Mytilus edulis: one gene and its partner. The protein of the gene in region 1 binds, or shares a complex with, the protein of each later gene. Links are inferred from orthologs where the notes say so. Each region holds a gene or a part of one and is shown on either strand. Other genes may lie near its edges.

What was found. Proteins that work in one complex are often made in the same cells at the same time.
Region 2: vacuolar protein sorting-associated protein 33A-like (region 1) and vam6/Vps39-like protein share a complex: the UniProt entries of both Drosophila melanogaster proteins name them as parts of the homotypic fusion and vacuole protein sorting (HOPS) complex. The link is inferred for Mytilus edulis from reciprocal best matches to the Drosophila melanogaster genes car and Vps39.

The regions. Positions count from the first base shown.
Region 1 is NC_092349.1:42,684,820-42,695,940, forward strand, and holds the start of vacuolar protein sorting-associated protein 33A-like, read right to left. Parts: upstream 4,497-11,121; 5' UTR 4,481-4,496; coding exon 4,367-4,480; intron 2,392-4,366; coding exon 2,326-2,391; intron 1,433-2,325; coding exon 1,305-1,432; intron 419-1,304; coding exon 334-418; intron 1-333. Other genes in the region: small G protein signaling modulator 1-like, read left to right, coding at 8,562-8,640, 8,766-8,809. UniProt on the Drosophila melanogaster protein: Core component of the class C core vacuole/endosome tethering (CORVET) and the homotypic fusion and vacuole protein sorting (HOPS) tethering complexes involved in endo-lysosomal vesicle trafficking and lysosome biogenesis.
Region 2 is NC_092346.1:54,791,703-54,801,760, forward strand, and holds the start of vam6/Vps39-like protein, read right to left. Parts: upstream 5,016-10,058; 5' UTR 4,882-5,015; coding exon 4,809-4,881; intron 736-4,808; coding exon 661-735; intron 343-660; coding exon 275-342; intron 1-274. UniProt on the Drosophila melanogaster protein: Part of the homotypic fusion and vacuole protein sorting (HOPS) tethering complex involved in endo-lysosomal vesicle trafficking and lysosome biogenesis.

The DNA of each region.
Region 1 (11,121 bases):
CCTGTTTTAATAGGATTCATGCACAGTTGTTCTTTGGGTACATTTGATTGTCTTTTTGTTTTGTTTTTCTCTCCTTTTCTTCAATTTGAAAACAGTAATTGTTTGTAATAGCACTTTACAAATTTGTACACTAACTATGGGTCATAAATAGTTGTGTGTGTATTTGATTTAGGCAATATTACTTGGGATGTTGGTTGTAGGTGGTATTTAAGAAGTCCCTGCCTACCCTACAATATCCATCTTAATAATTGCATAATCTTCAAAAACAGATGCTGAGAGTCTTGGAAAAACTTTTGTTAGTCAATTGGTCTAGCTGAGCTAAATCATTCATACCTTTAATCTTTTCTCACAAAGAAGGCTTTTTCTTGGGACAAATATGATGTGATATTCTTTCCTAAATCCTCCTTTTTGTTCTTCCCTGTAAATACATGTATAAAATACATACAAATTCCATTCATTTAATTAACACTGCAAAAGTTTTCAACTATCAAAATGTAGTTTATTTTGTCATGTTTATCCTGAACTACATGTACAAGCACACGTAAACATTTTTTTAAAAATTATTTCCTACACATTCTAAAGCTTAAATCAAGCTCAAAATGGAGCTTAAAATCTGGATTAGGCATTATTAAAATGTAGCTTGAATGTGCAACATGTTGTATATCCTTTTTAAACGAAATATCATACATCTTCAAGTACAAATTGTAGTATAAAAACAAGAAGATAGACTGTGTACCAGAGCAACATGTTAAGAGGATTTTTAACATGTTAGAACACATGCAAAGAATCAACAGGAAAACATATACAGTGGAGTCCCCGGTGTACGCGCGGCCGGTGATACCGCTCATTCGCTGATTTCGTTATATCAACACAGTAACGCAAATAAAATTGTTCTTGTTATTGTTTTAGCATTCCGAAGATAAAAAAGAATAAAATTGATAAGTTCCAGATTGAAATAGTAACACTAGCTTTGCATACAAATTACTCTGTTCCAAATCATACAGTTTTTGGCCTTACTTATAAAACATTGAAAGACAAACTACTCAGTGTTTGTAGTTTGTTGCTATATATCATATTTGTTTTTCAATTGTTGTTTTATAAACAAATACAGCCTTTAGTTTTCTAGTTTGCATAGTTTTATATTTGTCATTTTTAGGCCTTTTACAGCTTACAATGCACTAAAGTTTTGTTCATTGATGGAAGCCGTACAGTGGCCAATAATTGCTTTTATCTGTGTCATTTGAACTCTGGTGGATAGTTGTCTCATTGGAAATCATACCCCATTTTCTTATTTCTATACTGACTGTAATAAATTCTGTGCTATGAGATCCATGAGTTTCAATCTTGGTCTGGCTATAAATATAATATTCTGTACATTACTTGGTGGTAGACCAGAAGTCTGCAGTGGAAACATCTTCTCAACTTCATGTTCCTATTAATAGAAACATAAAAATATATATCGAAATTGTTAACAAAAAAAGTAAAACCGTTCTCTTAAAAATTGTATAATGGTAGATATTTTGCAGAACCATAAAGTTTTTGCTTCCCTTTATGCTAAACTCTTAATACACTATCACTTATAGCAACATATGTAAAGATGTCATGCAAAATCTAAACTTCTTGGTTTAAATTTGTTAGATATCAATTAGAAAGAATTCAATTAAACAACAGCAAAATAGCATTTCATTCCACTTGCACAATTTTTGTGTGAGGCACAGAAACTAATAATCAATGTCGGTTAAAAGCTCATCAGAGCTTATGATCAATGTTTTAGTTTGCATACTTTTCAGACTCTAAATAAAGCTTTTATCTTATTATTTATTACCAATATGATGCAATAAAAGCAAAATATGCATATTGTTCCTGTGTATTTTTTTCCATGCATAAATCTTTAAATCTTTAATCACCAACATTATTTTAGATATAAAATGTCATTGAAATATGGAACATTGAATGTTTTCATATCTGTATGTATTTTGGTAATAATTGAAAATGTGAAACAGGGTGATTATGAATGACTTGTGACAACAATCTTTCTTTGTCATTTGTTGCTGATAATAATTTTGATTTCCATTTATTGTTTTGTACATAAACATGATCTGGCTGTTGGTTTTCTCATTTGAATTGTTTTTCATTTATCATTTCAAAGCCTTTTATTTCTTGCTAGTAGGTTGGCTTGTAGTTACTAACTTCTATGTCATTTGTTTACTGTAAATGAGGTGGATGGTTTTAAAAGCCAAAATACATATATAGAAATATCAAGAAATCAAAGGAAATAAAAAAAGTTATTTTCTGAACCAAAATTCATTGTATTACTAAATTTACCTTCAGTAAAGAGTATTCTGCTATTAAACCAAAAGGTCCAGTCAAATCATTATCCCATACTAATGCCTGAAAAATTAATCACTGTTATTAAATAAATCCTAGACAATATAACTTCCTATTCTTGTACCAAAGAAGAGTAAATTTAAATTGAATACCTGCTACACTTCCATTGAAGTCATAAATGTACATGTTTAGAGTCTACAAATTAAAGGAACATTAGTTTTAATTCATATTCAACATTTCAAGTACTCACTGTAAAAACATTTGTTTTTGAAACACTAACCCAGTATCTTTATTGTCTGAATACAATAATTGTGCTCAAAATTTTTATGATCGAATTACAAGAACTTTAAGAAGTCAAATGTTGTTGTGTCAAAATATCAGTTGTCAGCTGCTCTATGGTGGGGTTGTTGTCTCTTTGGCACATTCCCAATTTCCATTCTCAATTTCATTAAAGTTATTTGGAAAAAAACATAATGATTTTCTGACCTAAACATGTGAAGATGATCTACCATGTTATTTCTATTCTTTTTGGCCTCCATAGCAATCTCTAAAAAAGGTAGAGATTGGTTTTGGGGAAACAGACAATATGTATTCTATTCTTGGCCTTTATCAGTTTCAGATCTGTTTTAAAAACAATCTAAGTTTGAAAATATCAATACCATAATGAAACAAATACATGTGAGAAATCAGTGAAGGGTTATACTTATACAAGTAATTTATATTCACTTGTAGATGTCAGATGTATGCCATTATTTGATATATACTTGTGTTATAAAGTAAATCTGTAAAATTTATATTTTTTTTCAAGATTTGAATAATCTCCCCTTCTCCAAAAGTGTACCTGTATATATACAATGATATGAGTACATTGAAGAAATTTTATTTTGAAACCCCTAAAAAGTTCTAAAGTTAAAAACTGGCCTGAAACAAACAATTGGACTAGTAATATGTACTAACTAATAAAAAATGAAGACATTTATTTTATATTTGCAATACATACATTTATTTATACATACAATTTATTTACTGTAATTTTTTTTATTTACAATGACAATTTCTACAAATCAAGTACATGAAGTAAGTGGTTTTTAAAGTCCGACACATTTTTGATGAACGAAATTGCGTCCGCCACGGTTACGTGTACATACAGAAGTTCTTAGTATTTAAGTTACAGTTAGCAAACTTTGCTTTTGATGTATCAATTTGGGTCAAGTTGCATAGCTGTAGTGTATGAAATTTATGTCTTGATTTTGTTTAAGTTTGACGGTTTAAAACGCATCCCAATTTTTTAAGTTTTTCACCCTAAACAAAATTGGTTCAAAGTATAATGACAGTAATAAGAGTAGGTGTGCAGTTAAATACTTTAAAAAAGAGAAACCATTGAACTATATGTTTCGCCTTTGACACTCCTAATCTTGAGTATTATCTTTAAGAACATCAAAACCATTAATACGTAAAACTATTCAAGTTAAACACCATTTGAATGTTGATTTATAATATTAAATTTATCAGTATTACAAGTATTGTTTAGTACATATGAAAGAATTAAGCAAAACAACTATAGAAGATTTAAGTTTAATAAATCTAGCGTACATTGCTGTTTTTCATGTAACAATAACGTAATGTAACCGTAGCCTCAGTAATTATTGTTACATTCGTAATTAATCGGTTCCACACCCAACTTTGCATTCCGGCAATTAGTCTCCAATGTAACAATAATACTTTTATTATTGTTACATTTCCATGTAACCGTAGCCAGTGCCTAGAGATTTTAATCTGACATAAGGAAAAATGTGAAAACATGAATTGAAAAAGAAGTTTTTTTAGGGGTCGCCCAAAACTAAGACCTTCAACTTAAGAAATAGGTTTCCTAAACCATTAACACCACTATAGATTGACTTATTTGGATGGTAGTATATAGCCTTATCTGGTGCTGATCTGTAAATATATTATTTGGTTTCCGCCCCCTTAGCTTACTCTTATGTCCATTGGGGTAACTAGAATAAACCACACATATATTGATTATGAGTCTGCTTGCCTTAGAGCCAAGACATTTGTCAAGAGCTTCTAAAAGCTCACGTCTGTAAAAATCTCTCAATAAACTCAGGTTTATTTTCCCACTTGACAGGTGAGAACCTCCAGTCGAAGCCATGATGGAATAAATGTGATTACCACAAACAGAAAAGTTTTAATGTAAGAACGCAACGTCCCAATTTGCTAATGTTGCTATCTTCTTCTATTGCATGGATGTCCTTTCACAATCATGGAACATAAAATACAGCTGTGTGTGTCTATTGAAACGCATCACACAATTCTATTTTAGTCATAAATCTAAAAGGACTCTTTTAAACAGTACAAATTAGGGGTTGGGGTTGGGGGGGGGGGGGGGGGGGTATTTTTTGTTAAATATAATGTTAATTCCCTGGTAAAAGAATCTCTAAAAACAAACATAAATTTACATTCTGCAAGAATTTATTCTTGGTACTCATTTGAAGATAATTACTCTAATATTAATGTACCTTTTAAACAATCTAAAAACGATTTAAAATGTAATATCAAAAAGTGTGATATAGTAGTTTCAGTTCAGATGAATATGAAAAAATACTTTAAATAAACTTTCAAAAATGGATTCCTCATCTAAACTTTGTCTATAAGAGAAATTAAAAAATAATTTTGAGTCTGAGGTATGATTTAAATTCAACTAAATAATTTTGTCATAGGCAGTTACTCTCAAAATTTAGACTTAGTGATGATTCCCTAGATATTGAATTGAGAAGGTATACGGAACATTCCAAGAACACAAAGATTATGTAAAAGTGTGGAGTCCTAGATGACGAATTCCGTTTCTTTTTGTAATGTGACACTACTAACATATCATTTCGTTCTAATCTGTTGCAAATCTAAAAGAGTATGTACCATTATTTCAAAGTCTTGATGCATTTAATAAACTAAAACACATTCTAAACCACATCCCTGAACTTGTTTGTCATATTGGAGTCTTCATTAAGCAGTCTTTAGAACTGAGGGGGTCAGACCCATGTCAAACAAGCTTATGATGGTTTACGTTTTTTTACATAAATTTATAATTGAACTATTAAAATTATTGTATTACATTGTATTGCAAGCGTATTGTATATAATTGTTTGATTGTATTGCCTGACCCTTATGGGTGTAATTTAGCAATACAGATTATATATAATTATACAAGGCAGTCTCTGATTATATGTATAAAGTTAGAGTCTATGAGGAGACTTTTTTACAATAAAAGTTCAGCGGGAATAAACTTAAAATTCAAAATAAAATGTTCTTGCGTTTACCAGTTTGTGCTGTATTTCTGTTACCCAATAAAGCCATGCAGTGTTGTCATTTTCGCGATATTTTTTTTTAAACATTGTCATAAAGCAGGGGGTTTGGCTAGCCATTTAACCAGGTTCAACCCACCATTTTTCTGAAAATGTCCTGTACCAAATCAGGAATATGGCAGTTGTTATCAAATAGTTTGGCTTTTTTGTGCTTTCTTTTTTGCACTTCAGTGTCCTTTGTTTTTCTCTAGTTGATGTGTTTCCCTCAGTTTTGGTTTGTATTCCGGATTTGTTTTTTCTCAATCGATATATGACTTTTGAACACCAGTATACTACTTTTGCCTTTTTTTTTTATCATGTTATACACTTACAGTATATACGTAAAGCGTGAAGAATGTCCTGTCTATAGAAATAAGAGTCCTGATCATGTGGTGTGAGTGACAATGCACGGAGACAACCTTTTATTCAACTCACAATGTGTAAAATTACACAGTAATAGTTCAAAGTACGGCCTTCAACACGGAGCCTTGGCTCACACCAAACAGCAAGCTATAAGAAAACCTCAATATCACTAGTGTAAAGCAATTCAAGCAGGAAACCCAACGGTCTTATCTATATAAAAAGGAGGAACGATAAGTACTTATGAACCACATAAAAAGGGATATACTTATTCAAAAATATATAACTGTTCAGTAGCCACTTTATATATAATGTCAATTTATAGATTATCTCCTTGTATGCTATATTCGAGTCCTAGCTTTTAAAAGTCTGAATCAGGGAGTATGAAATTTGTAACATACACTTGCGGAAAGATTACGGATTTTGATAATGTCCTTCTTCTGGAATATTACACAGTTGTTGCCGGTGAACAGTTGATAACAAGCTGTACATTCCAAGTCTATGGTCCAATTATATTTATTGTATGATATTTTCAGCTCTCGAAAGGCTTATTGTCTTTACTTATATAGAGCTGGACAGTCTAGAAAGAAATTAATCTTATCTTCCTTGTCTAATTTACAGCAGTTTGGGTGCTTCCTGGGATGATTTTCCCTGGCCAACCAACATGACCAACATGGCTTGAAATAAAGCATAAGGGGCAAATGTAATGTATGTCTTTTATCTTATAGATATAGAAATAAGTCAGATAGATAAAATCGTTAGTCAACTCCTAAGAGGAGTTATTGCTATATTCAAAGACAATTTTCACTTTTGTGCGTTTTTGCCATCTTGAAAATTTTAATACATAAACAGAAAAATGTAGATAAAAAAAGAGGACACACAATTTAACATGGTCGGATTTTTTTAATCAAGTCCTATAAAAGTCATTGTCCTTATTTTATCATTATGCCTTTTTTTTTTAAGCATATGCCTTTTCCAGTACGGTGACCCCATGTTTTTATTTTCTTATTTTATTTCAAATACGAAAGCTTTTATCGAATTCTTATCTAGAAAACATTGATCAATTCATTTCAAAACTATGAGAAAAAATACAGGTATTTTACAAGAGGATAAAAATAATATATAATTTCTACTAACAACAATAATCTTTTATGTGATACAGACTGTTTATGAAATATTACAATGTCAATTATTACAAGTTATGTTGGCTATTTCAAAAGCTTTTACCTACAGCCTAAAGGGTATAAGATTTAATGGCGATATTATTTAGATCCGAATACAAGGATAGTCAGGCTTTAATTTCTACATTCTTCTTTATTGTAAAGCAGGATTTTCTGGTCTTTTCCATCAAAAGCTATGTTAGATAATATGATACAAGTGATTGGCAACTCCATTTATGAATAATGACCATATCTTACACACTCCTCAGTTGGATATGGTTTAAAAGGTCTTAAATAAACGTTTCTTTTAGTATATAGATATTATGAATGATGATAATTATAAACGTTCAAAATTGATATCATGGTCTGATATTGAAATTTGAAAGAAGACGCAGATAAAATTGAGTCGACTATGTTGTTATGGTTCCTATTTCTGTCTTGTAACGTTAAGGGTTGATAATAAAAAAAAAATGTATGATTTTATAAACCATATCAAATCAAATAAAGTTTGCACTAGCTTTTAAAGCTTGAAGACAAGCTGGGTGAGATGTTTTTTTTTTATCCTATTCTATTGATATTGAGCAAAAAACAATATAGCTCTGTAATTTTTATTCCCCATCCCTGTTATTATTCTACTATTCTAGTCAGTGCCAGGTGTGTAAAGACTAACACCTTTCATTTATAGGCGGCATTTATATACACTTTAAGTTACCGTGAAAATTAATGTAAGCTTTTTATATATATGTACAATTATATGATAAAGAATTTTACTTAAATAAAAATTAAGCATATTGAATGGTGCAATTAATTTACTTTCTTACATTACTTTGAAATAACTTTGTTAATGGTTCTTTGCTAAACTTTTTGTTGGGAGACGTTATTATTTTATTAATGTTAGAAAAATAAAACACAAAATCTTCAAAATTTTGTTTTTAAGAATATTAATTTTAGACAATTAAAATAATATTTAATCCTTAATGATCAAATATATTTGTAATTTATCAATATCTATTGGAAATAACTGAAAAGTAAACCGGCTTTCAATTTAGGATCCCTGTATTTCCGGTGCATTTGTTTACCAACAAATTAGCTTCAAAAACAGACGAAAGCAACACCCTTTACCAGTCTACATACCAAAGAACAAAATTAAAGCACACATGACCTATAAACCATAAAAAAAAATATATCTGTAATGGCACTTCCGGTGGTCTTGAATACAAAATGATGCGAATATGATAATTGGTTCCTTGTTTAATCAATATTCATGGATGTTGATTATCTGTGGTAACTGTTCCGAGCATCTTCAATACACATTGTACTGTGGGCTAGTACTATAGGAGTTCAGGGGCTTATGATTTAGTATGAAATATTAATGTTACATCTGGGACTCTTGGACTCTTCTGAGCATTCAGCAGACCTGAAGCTCAAAATGGAAGGCCAGAACCCAACAGGTGAGGTTTATTGGTTAAACTTTTGATTTATTATATTATGATTTCAATTTTCAGCCAGTATGCTTTTTTATTAGAATCCTTTTTATTAAAATAAAGCATTTATATTTTCATTTAATTTTTTGCAGAATCAGAAAACCGACAGAATCTGTTAAGAGCTGTCAAGAAAGAGGTTAGTTGCTATATATGTTGTTAACTTTGTGTAACCACAAATAACATCCCTTTGATATTGATACAAAAATCAATAGGATAATTTATGTTTAATGTGTCACTGGAGATGTAATTACAGTTTTCAATTGATTAATTCTGGGACAACAATCATAATACCCTGATTTTCAAAGATAGCATAAAAGAAAACGGAACGTTAATTAAAGATATTTTTTTTACAAAGATTTTTCCTTTGATATCAAACAGATATAAAAATGATATGTTTAATCTTGGACCAATAGATTCATGTTTAACACCAGATTTAGCATCTTAAATAAACAGTTATATTTTTATCAGGCCTGTCAACTTTTTCATAACACAAATTTTTTGTGAATTTTTTATTGGACAAAAAATTGTATTAGCTCACACATCAATTAAGCAGCAAGCAAATCTAAATTTTCATAGCACGTACTTCATTCCATACAGGGGTAATAATATATATAACATTTTGCAATGATTGATTGATAGATTGTAGTCCAGTAGCAAATATTTCATGCATAATTAAGACAAAGCAAATTAATTCATTTATTTGTGTTATAGTCTTTATAGTGGGTCTCATTGGGGTCTAAGTGTGACGCGAGATTGCCAATTTTTTGTAAGCGGGACACGTAAAAGTCAAATTATTGTGTCGTGAAAACGGGAAATGAGGTCTAGTGGGACCTGGGAAATGACAATTGCTTACATACATAGTGTAAGCGGGATATGGGAAACTGACCAAACAGTAAGCAGGATCCGGGATGGGAACCCCCCCCATGAGACCCCCTTTATATTGAAAAAGTCTTTAGTTTTTTTGCTGTAAAGTCATTGTGTCGGTTATTTTCTTCATATAAATAGTGAATTGTTGATAATAAGAGATAGCTGTACAAAATGTAACTTATATACAGAATGATTTATAAGGGTAATGCTGTCATTTTAGTGATACTTTTAATATTGTTGTATTAAAGCATAAGGTTTGGCTAGCCACAAAACCAGGTTCAATGCACCAATTATTCTTAAAATGTCCTGTACCAAGTCAGGAAAGGGCAATTGTTATCTTATATAGATATAGGAAGATGTGGTGTGAGTGCCAATAAGACAACTCTCCATCCAAATAACAATTTATAAAAGTAAACCATTATAGGTCAATGTACGGCCTTCAACACAGAGCCTCATAGTTATAGTTCATTTCTGTGTGTGTTGCAATATTGTTTTTTTTTTTTTGTTGCACTTCAGTGTTTCTGTTGTATCACTTAAAGGATCTACTCTGGACATTTCAAGCTTGACACATAATGTGTAAATATTTGGTCTATTGTTGTAGAAATTATACAGATTTGTATGGTTGAATACTGAACACCTAACTCTAATTGTGACATGGTTCAGTTGCTGTCTTAAATATAAAGTCCTTACATCTGTTTCATGTATTTGTAATTAAAGTGCCCATTCTTTCAGCATGTTCAGCTGAAAAATTCCCATGTGACATGTGCATGTGATATGTCCCAAACATTTTTTAAAAGAGAAGGTAACCTTTGCATGTTATTTGCATTCTTGATTGATTGATTGATTGATTGTTGGTGGTTTAAAGCCACTTTTTAAGTACATGTACCATTTTGGGCTGTTTCTTGGCAGCCAGTTTTTAGTGGTGGAGAAAGCTGAACGTTCTGGAGAAAACCACTGACCTTTGATAGGAAACTGACAATCATTTAATTTAAGATTGGAGTCAAGTGCACCAGCGTGGTCAGGGTTCAAACTCACAACCTCAGTGTTGACTGGCTGACAACTTGACCACCAAGGCCCATTTTGCACAGAGTTTTCTACTAAGTCTTGAAAAAATGTTGCCTGCTCTTTGGCATGTTTGGTCGGGATGTTGTCTCTTTATCATATTCCCATTTCCATTTTCAATATTACTTGTTAATAAGAACAAGTAAGTCCATCTATTATGTACATGTATGAGGGGTAAAATTCATGTTTTATTTTTTTATATTTTTGTTTTATATGTTATCTGCTCTTTGGTCGGGTTTCTGTCTCTTTGACATATTCTATATTTCCACTCACATTTTCATTTCAAGTTAAACCCTCTAACCATGTTGCTATCAATTGTTATTTGATTCAAAGATAATCTATATATATTTCACCTGCAGAAATACCAGAGTCAATTTTAGAATTGCTAGAATTTGATGATAAATAAAAAGTGGAGGCTGAATTCATGACATGGAAATGTCAACTGTTTTATTAAAAGATCAACTGATATTTTTAATATAGATTGAATGCCTTCTTTTAGCTCACCTGGCTTGAATGGCC
Region 2 (10,058 bases), on another chromosome or scaffold:
CCTTTCCTAAAGAGATATTCCATTTCGAATAATGACAACTCCCTACATTTGTAAAACCTGAGGTTGGATGTAAACCTTTAAGCACTCTGAAATTGGATCATTTCTGTAGTTCTTAGTAGCTCGTCTTCCATGTGTAAAGGTCATAGACTGTCATTATATGTCACATCCACCTTTTTCATTGTTAATTTGTCCTTCATATAAACAAATCCAATTCAACAGGGAGCTGACACTTTTTTTTGCCTGTCTTAATTCAGAATGAGATTAGTTTTTTTACCTGTGTAATTGGCTTTTTGGCAAAATTTTTGTTTGATCTTTCCAATTGTACATCAAACTTTGATTCACCTGAAATATAAACAAATAATTATGAACAACCGATATAATCAAAATAATCAGAAAAAAAAGGATTGAAATAATACATCCAGCTTACAATATTGTTCAAATTTAGATACAAGAGTCTTGGTCATGGTAGGTTAATATAGACTAGAGTGATACTTTTTTTGAGTTTCAATCAATGCATGACACCTAGATTAAATATAGACATTTTGTCTATGGATACAATATAATACAAAGTGTCATTGGTTGACTGCTAAAAAAGTAAAATAAATGTAAAATTATAATATTTTGTAAATATTTTAGCAAGCAAATTTAAATGATATTTACCAGCCGCTCCAGATTTTCTTTTGATTCTATACTGTAACAAGTGGCTCTCTTTTGTACCAACAAGTAAAATGTCATCTAAAATAGTGGGAAAAAAAAAAATTATATCACTAACTGCTTGTGAAACAGGTCATAAAGATGCTCTTTCATCCTCTTGTAAAAATGAGTGTAAACAGGAGAAACCTGACAAAGTCATGTAGTTACTATTTGAACAATGTCTCAATATCGTAGTTTGATAATAAATTAGAAATCATTATGGTAGATACAATCATAACAATGTTACGATTAAAACCAGCTTAAAGTACTCACAATGGATTTTGAAGTTTGATAGTCATAGATTCATCATTCGAACGCATTTTCGTCATAATTGATATAAATTGCCATCAAAAACTTTCAATAATTTCTATTAAAATATAAAACTTTATTCAAAACGTTCAGAGATGTCTTCACCAGTTAAACAGGTTCCTGAACTGTGCGCTACACATGCATGAAAGTATTCTTATGACTATTTATAGACCCTGATAAAAAACTTAAAATACGAAATCATTTAGAATCATATATCTCTTACTAATGGAATTTAAACCGAAAAATTATAATTTCCTGATGAATCCGGACTCGTTTTGAATTTATCATCCACGTGTCACTTCCAGTTTTCATTTCATTTTAAAAGCATGCGCATTAATACATATACAAACTCGTGACTTGCGATTTGGAACAAGAACATTTATTAAATAATAATTAAACGACCTAGATGGTTCTCCATTTTTTTATGAGAGAACAGTATCAAATATCAGTTTCATAACGGTAACATATAGAACAAGAGTGCACAGTTTAAAATGTCTCGCCTTCTTTCCTAATCATTGTCATTGATATTATGTTGATAGTCCTAAATATAAAGCTTTATTACAAATGTCACATAAATCTAACCAAGAAAACTAAACATTGACCAATGGCCCATGAAAATGAGGTCAAGGTCAAATGAACCATGCCACGCAGGCATGTACAGCTAACAATTTTTCCGTACAACAAATAATGTTGATCTATCACTTATAGTTTAAGAAAAACAGACCAAAACACAAAAATTAACATTGAGCAATGAACTGTGAAAATGAGGTCAAGGTCAATTAAACCTGCGCGACTGACAAATAGATCATAAAAAATTTCCATACATCAGTAACCCTACCGTCACTACTTTTTTCGGCTTAAAATAGCCTACCCTAAAGATCTTATTGTCATTTTTCATTAAGCACTGTTGAAGTCAGAATGTTGCTCCCAATAGACTCAATGTAAAAAAAACCTATAAAATACAAAAAATCCCTACATGTACCTACCTACCCTAACTTTTTTTCAGATGTAACGGGAACCATACATACTTTTTTATTTGGCCTGACCACCAAAACTTAACCTTGTTCATTGATCCATGAAATGAGGTCAAGATCAAGTGAAAACTGTCTGACCAGCATGAGGACCTTGCAAGGTACGCACATACCTAATATAGTTATCTATTACTTACAGAAATGTATAATAAGAGAGAATTTAACATTACAAAAAAATCTTAACTTTTTTTTCAAGTAGTCACTGAACCATGAAAATAAGGTCAAAGACATTGGACATGTGACTGACAGAAAATTCGTAACATGGGGCATCCATATACAAAGTATGAAGCATCTAGGTCTTCCACCTTCTTAAATATAAAGCTTTTAAAAAGTTAGCTAATGCCGTCACTGTATCTGCCGGATTACTATCCCTATGTCGAGCTTTCTGCAACAAAAGTTGCAGGCTCAACAAGAACTCCACTTCAGTTCTCCTTCGAAAATAGTGGAATAAATTACTTTTGGAGTGTCAAGAACTCGTTGGAAGTACTTGATAAATTGCATGCTTATATTGGTGATTTTGAATCTGTTCAAAATTTGATTTTTCTACCCTGTATACCACATTGCCTCACATTCTCATTAAGAAAAAATTCACACACCTAATTAAATGGGCATTCAAAAAATCAGAATGTGAATATATATGTTCAAACTCTTTTAGGTCATTTTTTAGTAGCAATAAACAAAAAAACTATGTTAATTGGACATGCTTTGATACTATATATGCCCTTGAATTTTTACTAGATAACATTTTTGTTCGCTTTGGGGATTCTGTATATCGTCAGATTATCGGAATTCCAATGGGGACTAACTGTGCACCACTTATTGCGGACCTGTTTTTGTATTGTTATGAGTTACAATTTATGACAAAAATAAGCAAAGACCCATCGAAACAACATCTGATAAACAAATTTAATAATACTTTTAGATATTTGGATGATATTTTGGCTCTCAATAATGACGACTTCAGTATGTATATTAATGAAATTTATCCTGTTGAACTTACTTTAAATAAAGCTAATACTAACAATGACCACTGCCCTTTTCTCGATCTTGATATCTATATCACTAATGGAAAGCTGAATACTAAAATTTATGATAAAAGAGACGATTTTTCATTTCCTATCGTTAATTATCCGTTTTTAGATGGTGACGTTCCCTTGTCACCATCTTACGGTGTTTATATATCTCAACTTGTATGATTCGCTCGTGTATGTAACAATGTTTTAGATTTTAACGAGAGAAATTTATGTATTACTGAAAAATTATTACACCAGGGTTTTCGATATCACAAACTAGTCAAAACATTTACTAAATTTTATCATCGGTATAAAGACATCATTCGTAAATATAGCTCAACATGCAGACTTCTAATACTTTCAGGTATTTCACATCCGATTTTTTATGGAAATATTCTTTATAAAGCACAAAGGTGTCAGTATTCACCTCAGAAACTTACAAAACCTTTGAATAGACTTATTAAGAAGGGATATAATTACGATACTGTTGTCAAGTCATTAAAGATTGCATATTTTGGCGTTAATATTGAGTCACTGATAAGGTCTTTGCATCGGAACTAAACACATTTATTCTAAAAACAGTTGTTGGCATGACACGGGTTATGTTCTTCTCATATATGTTATGATGGTATGATACTAAACCCCTAACGGGAAGGATTGTGCCTGATGTTCATATGATGAAATCATAATCTTTCAGTCAGTTTAATTGAAGTCTGGAGCTAGCATGTCAGTTAACTGCTAGTAGTCTGTTGTTATTTATGTATTATTGTCATTTTGTTTATTTTCTTTGGTTACATCTTCTGACATCAGACTCGGACTTCTCTTGAACTGAATTTTGATGTGCGTATTGTTATGCGTTTACTTTTCTACATTGGTTAGAGGTATAGGGGGAGGGTTGAGATCTCACAAACATGTTTAACCCCGCCGCATTTTTGCGCCTGTCCCAAGTCAGGAGCCTCTGGCCTTTGTTAGTCTTGTATTATTTTAATTTTAGTTTCTTGTGTACAATTTGGAAATTAGTATGGCGTTCATTATCACTGGACTAGTATATATTTGTTTAGGGGCCAGCTGAAGGACGCCTCCGGGTGCGGGAATTTCTCGCTACATTGAATACCTGTTGGTGACCCTCTGCTGTTGTTTTTTATTTGGTTGGGTTGTTGTCTCTTTGACACATTCCCCATTTCCATTCTCAATTCTATTATATGAAAGAAATAGAATTATCCGAATTCAGAAAACTCTCGCATTTATCAAAACTGGGGAATTCCCTCCGATGTGTTTCTAAATTTATAAAAACACTAAATATATATACTGCTTAATTCTGATTTTCTGTGTTGTTAAAAACATGCATATAAGTCAAGGGAAATATCAAACATAAAGATTATGAGAAGAACATTACAGGAAAGTTGTTTAAGTTCAATCCTTTTGCTTGTTTTTACCTTTTCATAAGAATCTGAGATTTTGCTGAATGTTTAGAATAAAACGGTTGATGTGAGGGCATAGAGCCCTGAGTCAATGGTATAAGTCTACAGATTGCTTGAAAGCAGATATCAAAGCAGTCTGTAGACTTAAAAATTGCACTCATCACGTACTCTTTATCAAATTCATATAAATACATTTAGGGGGAATATGAAGTGAATGTGTTTATTTAAATCTGAAAGTTATTTTTGTAAGTATTGTGAAGATTCATCTTAAAATTAACTAAACATGTCACACTGTCAATAAATATTGAACAGGAAATCCCAGGAAATAAATCATGTCATACCATGGCACGTTATAGATTCGATTTTTAACGGTAGTTTTTCAAGAAGTGATATGGCCTCATATGCGTCGTGCATCACGACGATTTATGGCACAAATATACAGTGAATCTATGGCATTTTGTTGCAAAATTCAGCTAAAAAAACATCTACTGCTACTTTTCATGTGATAATCATTTCAAGTCTCCAACAGAGAAGAGTTCTCAAATCACTAAAAACCAAAAGTAACCATCTTGAACATAGACAAGAACGGTCTAAATTGGCTTAACACATACATTTAGACAAATGAGTGTCTGGAGTCAGTTTCACAAAAAAAAACTTAAGACTAAGATTTATCTTATAAATTTTCAAGTATACTGAATTGTTCATGACTTACGATCAATCTTAGTTGTAAGATTTTTTTTGGGAAAACCGACTCCTTGAGAGGGGTCCTTTAATTCTTTATTCATAAATTTTATAAGCCATTTTATCTATTCTTAATTTGGCCAATATTTGGGAAACCCTGAGAGGATAAAGGATCCCTATAGTTTTTATTAAGTCTGTGAGTCCGTCGGACAGTCAATAATATTTACAAGCGCAAAAACTCCAAAACTCAAAGGTATATATAGGAGGCCAGAGAAATTTTGTACAGCTTTTTTGCATATGTAAATGTGCATATGTTTAATTTTTTCATAATTATATTTTGCTCATAATAAGGGGACAACAATTTGATATTCTGGGGAGGGGGGGGGGGGGGGGGGGGGGGGGGGCAGGAGGATTTTGAAAATGAATATAAACTCAGCCTTGATAATCACAAAAAATGAATGGTTTTTGTTCTGTGGTAGTTTGAAAATAAATTACCTGACTTGCAATCACAGTATTGAAAAAATAAATAACTCAGTAGGTCTAATTGAAAGTATAGGATGGCATCAGATTCTTCATAAATTCATCTTCTTTTTTTTTAAATCGGGAAACACTTCCCTAATCTTTTAATAATAAAAGTATAAATATTATTTAAATATACTGGAAACGTCTGAAAATTAGTTTCATTTAACTTTAGGTATATTTACTCAGGAACACTTACCTCACTTTTATTACAGGGCAGTAACTACAATGTAGGAAATTTCAAAACCAAACGCTCAACTCCATATCAAATTGTGATCACAAGGAATGCCTTGCAAGAAGGAAGTTATGTTCTCCCTCAGACGTAGCCCCTGATTTTTCGGGATCAATGTTTCTTTTTTATTTGTCTTTTGTTCATTGATTGCCCTTCTGTATCCTGTTAGTGTTGTATTCCTTTTGTAATTTAGTAATTTTGTTCTTAACTTGATCATGATTTAAAAAAAAAACCAGAAGCCACAGACTTAACTATGTGAATAACATGTTTGCTTTTAATGCATATTGGTCTTTTGGTGTTGTCCTTAGAAACTTAAGTCTTACACTGAATTAATACATTTTGCTTTGAGACCAAAATATGGTCAAAAAATTATTAAAATAGAACTTGCATTTTCAGATTAAGAAAGGGGGTATGGGGAACACCCAAAAAGCATGATTTTTCATCATTTGTTCTATAGCTTTTTGGGCCTTCAGTTGCTCCAAAACCCATAAAAAAAATTTGTTTGCCAATACTTTTAAAAAAGGTTAGATACAACCAAACTTTAATACTGTGTATGTATAGAATACATGTATATATGCAGTTGGGAATAAAGAAGATTCATTTCTCAGAGGATGATGATTAATTCTGATTAAATGGTACATAATGACTTGACTATACATGTATTATTTATAATAAACAAATAATTTAAAAATTGTATGTTTTCGAATATTATAAATATAGTTGTGAAAATAAATAGATGAATAATCAGTCCCTTGCTTTAATGAAAATGAAAAATCTTACTTCAATAGTGCAGAAAAAAGATAACCTGTCCGTTCCCAAAAATAAATAACTGATCCAAAACAAATCCTCCTGCCCCCCCCCCCCCCCCCCCTTTTGAAATTCCTTTTATAATAACAAAAGCTTCAAAAATATTGGTAGGAGGCTAAAGTTAAAAGAGGTGCTAAAAACATTGCCCAAAACAAAATGTTTTCTCCTTTGATCATTTGGTAGTGAGAACATTTTTACATATTTTCTATACATGTACTGATTAGAAAATTGTGAGGTTTTTATGCTTACAATGCGATTTGATTGATTGATTGATTTTTTTAAACACCACTTTAAGCACTATTGCAGTCAGTTTTTATTGGTGGAGGATGTTAGAGTGACTGGAACGAACCTGCGTCATTTGGTAGGAAAACTGACAATCCTAAGTTCATAAGTCAATTACAATTAGAGACGAATGCACCTACCATGTGTGTGATTTGAACTAAGAACCTCAGTGTTGACAGGGTAGTGATACAGTAGTTTGACTACTTATACCCCTCTGGTCCTGTGGTAGGTTGGACATGGTATTCTATACATGTACTAATTAGAAATTGTGAGGTACTGCAGATGCTTATAATGTGAACATATAGTCATATAACTTGTTACATGTATAATGTATGTGGAACTTTCAAGTGTTTAATAAAAATTTTGTATAGATTGTATTGGTTAATTCAACTTTTTCATATAACCTATATTTGTAGGTAGCTTTATTGTGATACCAACTTGATTCAGTCATGAATAGATTGTATACATCCTTTTATTGACTTTTTTGATGAAATAATCACATTGCTTCATATTACCCATGCAACATCGACTTGCACCGAAATTTCTTAGTTTTGAGATCATCCACTTATTGTTTGTTCTATGACTAGACTCACCTTTGTTTGAAATCTTGTCTTTGGTTAATATTAAATAAGTTTTTTTACTAAAAATTAAGTCCTGTCATTTTTGTTAAAATCTCTTTAAGCTTGTAATTGTATAATAGAATGAAATTCAAAACAGTGTGGCTGTGGCCATTGATTGACACATCAAATTCATCCATTGACTGGGACAATTTACGTGAACGTATGTCTGTAACGACCACTGTTAACGACATTTAAACTGTGGGGTCACTCACCAAAGGTTTCTTAACGCCTTTAATTATAAAATAATTCGAAAAACTAATCAGGAATAACCTTTATGTTTTGATTTATATAATTGGTATAAATCAAACATCGTGTTATTTCTGATTAATTTTTCGAATTACTTTATTAAGGTGTTGAGAACCTTTGGTGACCCCATAGTTTTAGTGAGCAGTGGTCATTACATACAAACGTTCACCTAAATTTTCCCAGTCAATGGATGAATTTAATGTGTCAATCAATGGCCACAGCCACATTGTTTTGAATTTCATTCTAATTTAGCATGCTGAGCATCATTTGTCAATGTAAAGGAAACTGAGTTCCATAAATTTTTATCTTGTGTGTCTTTTATTTTTGTTGTCGTGTACTTTAATACTTATATTTCACTTTGTGCTTTGATGATGCACAAGTTGACATGTAATGACCATTATCGTTTTGGCTCATAATCATAAGAAAATAAGCTTTTTTATTAAGCACCTCTTAGACTACTCTATTACACAGTTTTAGTTAAACATTCTGTCATTAACTATGAATTATGTCCTTCAATTTTCCTCAGGGTGAAGAAGGGGTGAAACTTCACATTTTTTTTATAACATGTTCTGTACTACATTCCTATAAAAAAAAAGTCTACAGTGGTTTATTTTGTTGATAATGCATTATAACAAAGCAGCTTTATACTAAAATATTCTACATTTAAAAAATGTCTACCTTAAACCTAGAACTGTGAGAATTAAGTTATGGCATCCATTAATTTTAAATCAAATTTTGCTTGTAATGTAAATCTCTTTTTTTTCTGATATTGCAATTTATTTTTCTTCAAATATAAAACTTCTTCAAGGACTTCCATCTTAAAATTAACAAAATATCCATGATATCAAGTCAAAGTTTCTCGTACAACCTGTTTATTAGTGTACTAAAACTATTAAGAACCAGATACAGCAATTGATTCAATATATATAGGAAAAAGTTATGAAGCAGCATTAAAATATTTTTTGGCAAGTTTTTGCTTACAGTTATAGGATTTTGAGCACAAAAAATAGAAAAGAAAAAAAATAATGGTCAACTGTTTTCTACTTATTGTGCCTTTTATGGCAGATATAAGTCTTTTCCTAGCTGCTTACCCCTAAATCATATCTATGGAATCAGGATACATCTACTCAAAAAGATTCTGCTTTGAAGTTTCAAAAAATATACTGAAAATGGATCAATCAAATCCAAAAATTCCTTCTTTTGACTTGGGTTTTAATCAATTCTAAAGCAGATAAATATACCAAATTACATGTAGAAACTTATATATAAATCCAATATTAGGCAATACCATTCTGCCAAAAAAAGGTCCATGTTAGTAAAGAATATCATTGTAACTGTCTATGTATACCATCAAGTCATTGCAACATGAAGAATTCCTGTTCAAGATGAACAATTAAACCCGACATTATGACCTTTACTCGACACATAACCATGTTTCTTTGGACCAATTGGGCTAAAAGATTATACTCTGAGGTTTAAATAAAACTGACTCTTTAATTCATTTCATGATTTTAATATTTTCTAGAATCTTTTATGAAGCATACTTTACTAAAATTTTACACAAATATAAAAAATTCTACTTGAATTTGTACTTAAATTATAAAGTATTAACAAAATCATATTGTACAAAATACTGTTTACTAGTATATGTTATAAATGCTGTTATCCCAACAGAACTACATCACAATTTTTCTTTACGGTTTCAACATTAATGATCCACATTACATATTTAATGTAAAAAAATAGAAAACTGGCTTTGGAAAGGAAAAAAAGGTCCTGTACATGCATGAAATATTTGCCACTGTAGTGACTGGATGTCAAGCAACCAACAATCAATTGATGAAGAAAACTTGAAAGATTTTTTTTTTAAATCTGGATAATCATAATTTTAGTGAATATGGCCACTATTGTACATTAAATTGAAATACAAGTTTTAACAAATACTTGTGGTAAAATATTTAAATGACAAACAATTTTAAGACTATTTTAGTGATAACAACTGGTTTGCTGGCCTGTAAGTCAATTTAGGTGATGGGAATAAGAAGTAACTTTTTTTCTAAAGTTTTAAGGGCCAAAAAGAGGTGCATACTATGTATGACTGTATTTTATATAGACCATAGGACTGTATACCATAAATGCATATTTTTTTATTTTCCTTTATTTTGTGCAAAATACATATTGGAACCACAGAAAAAACCTGATAA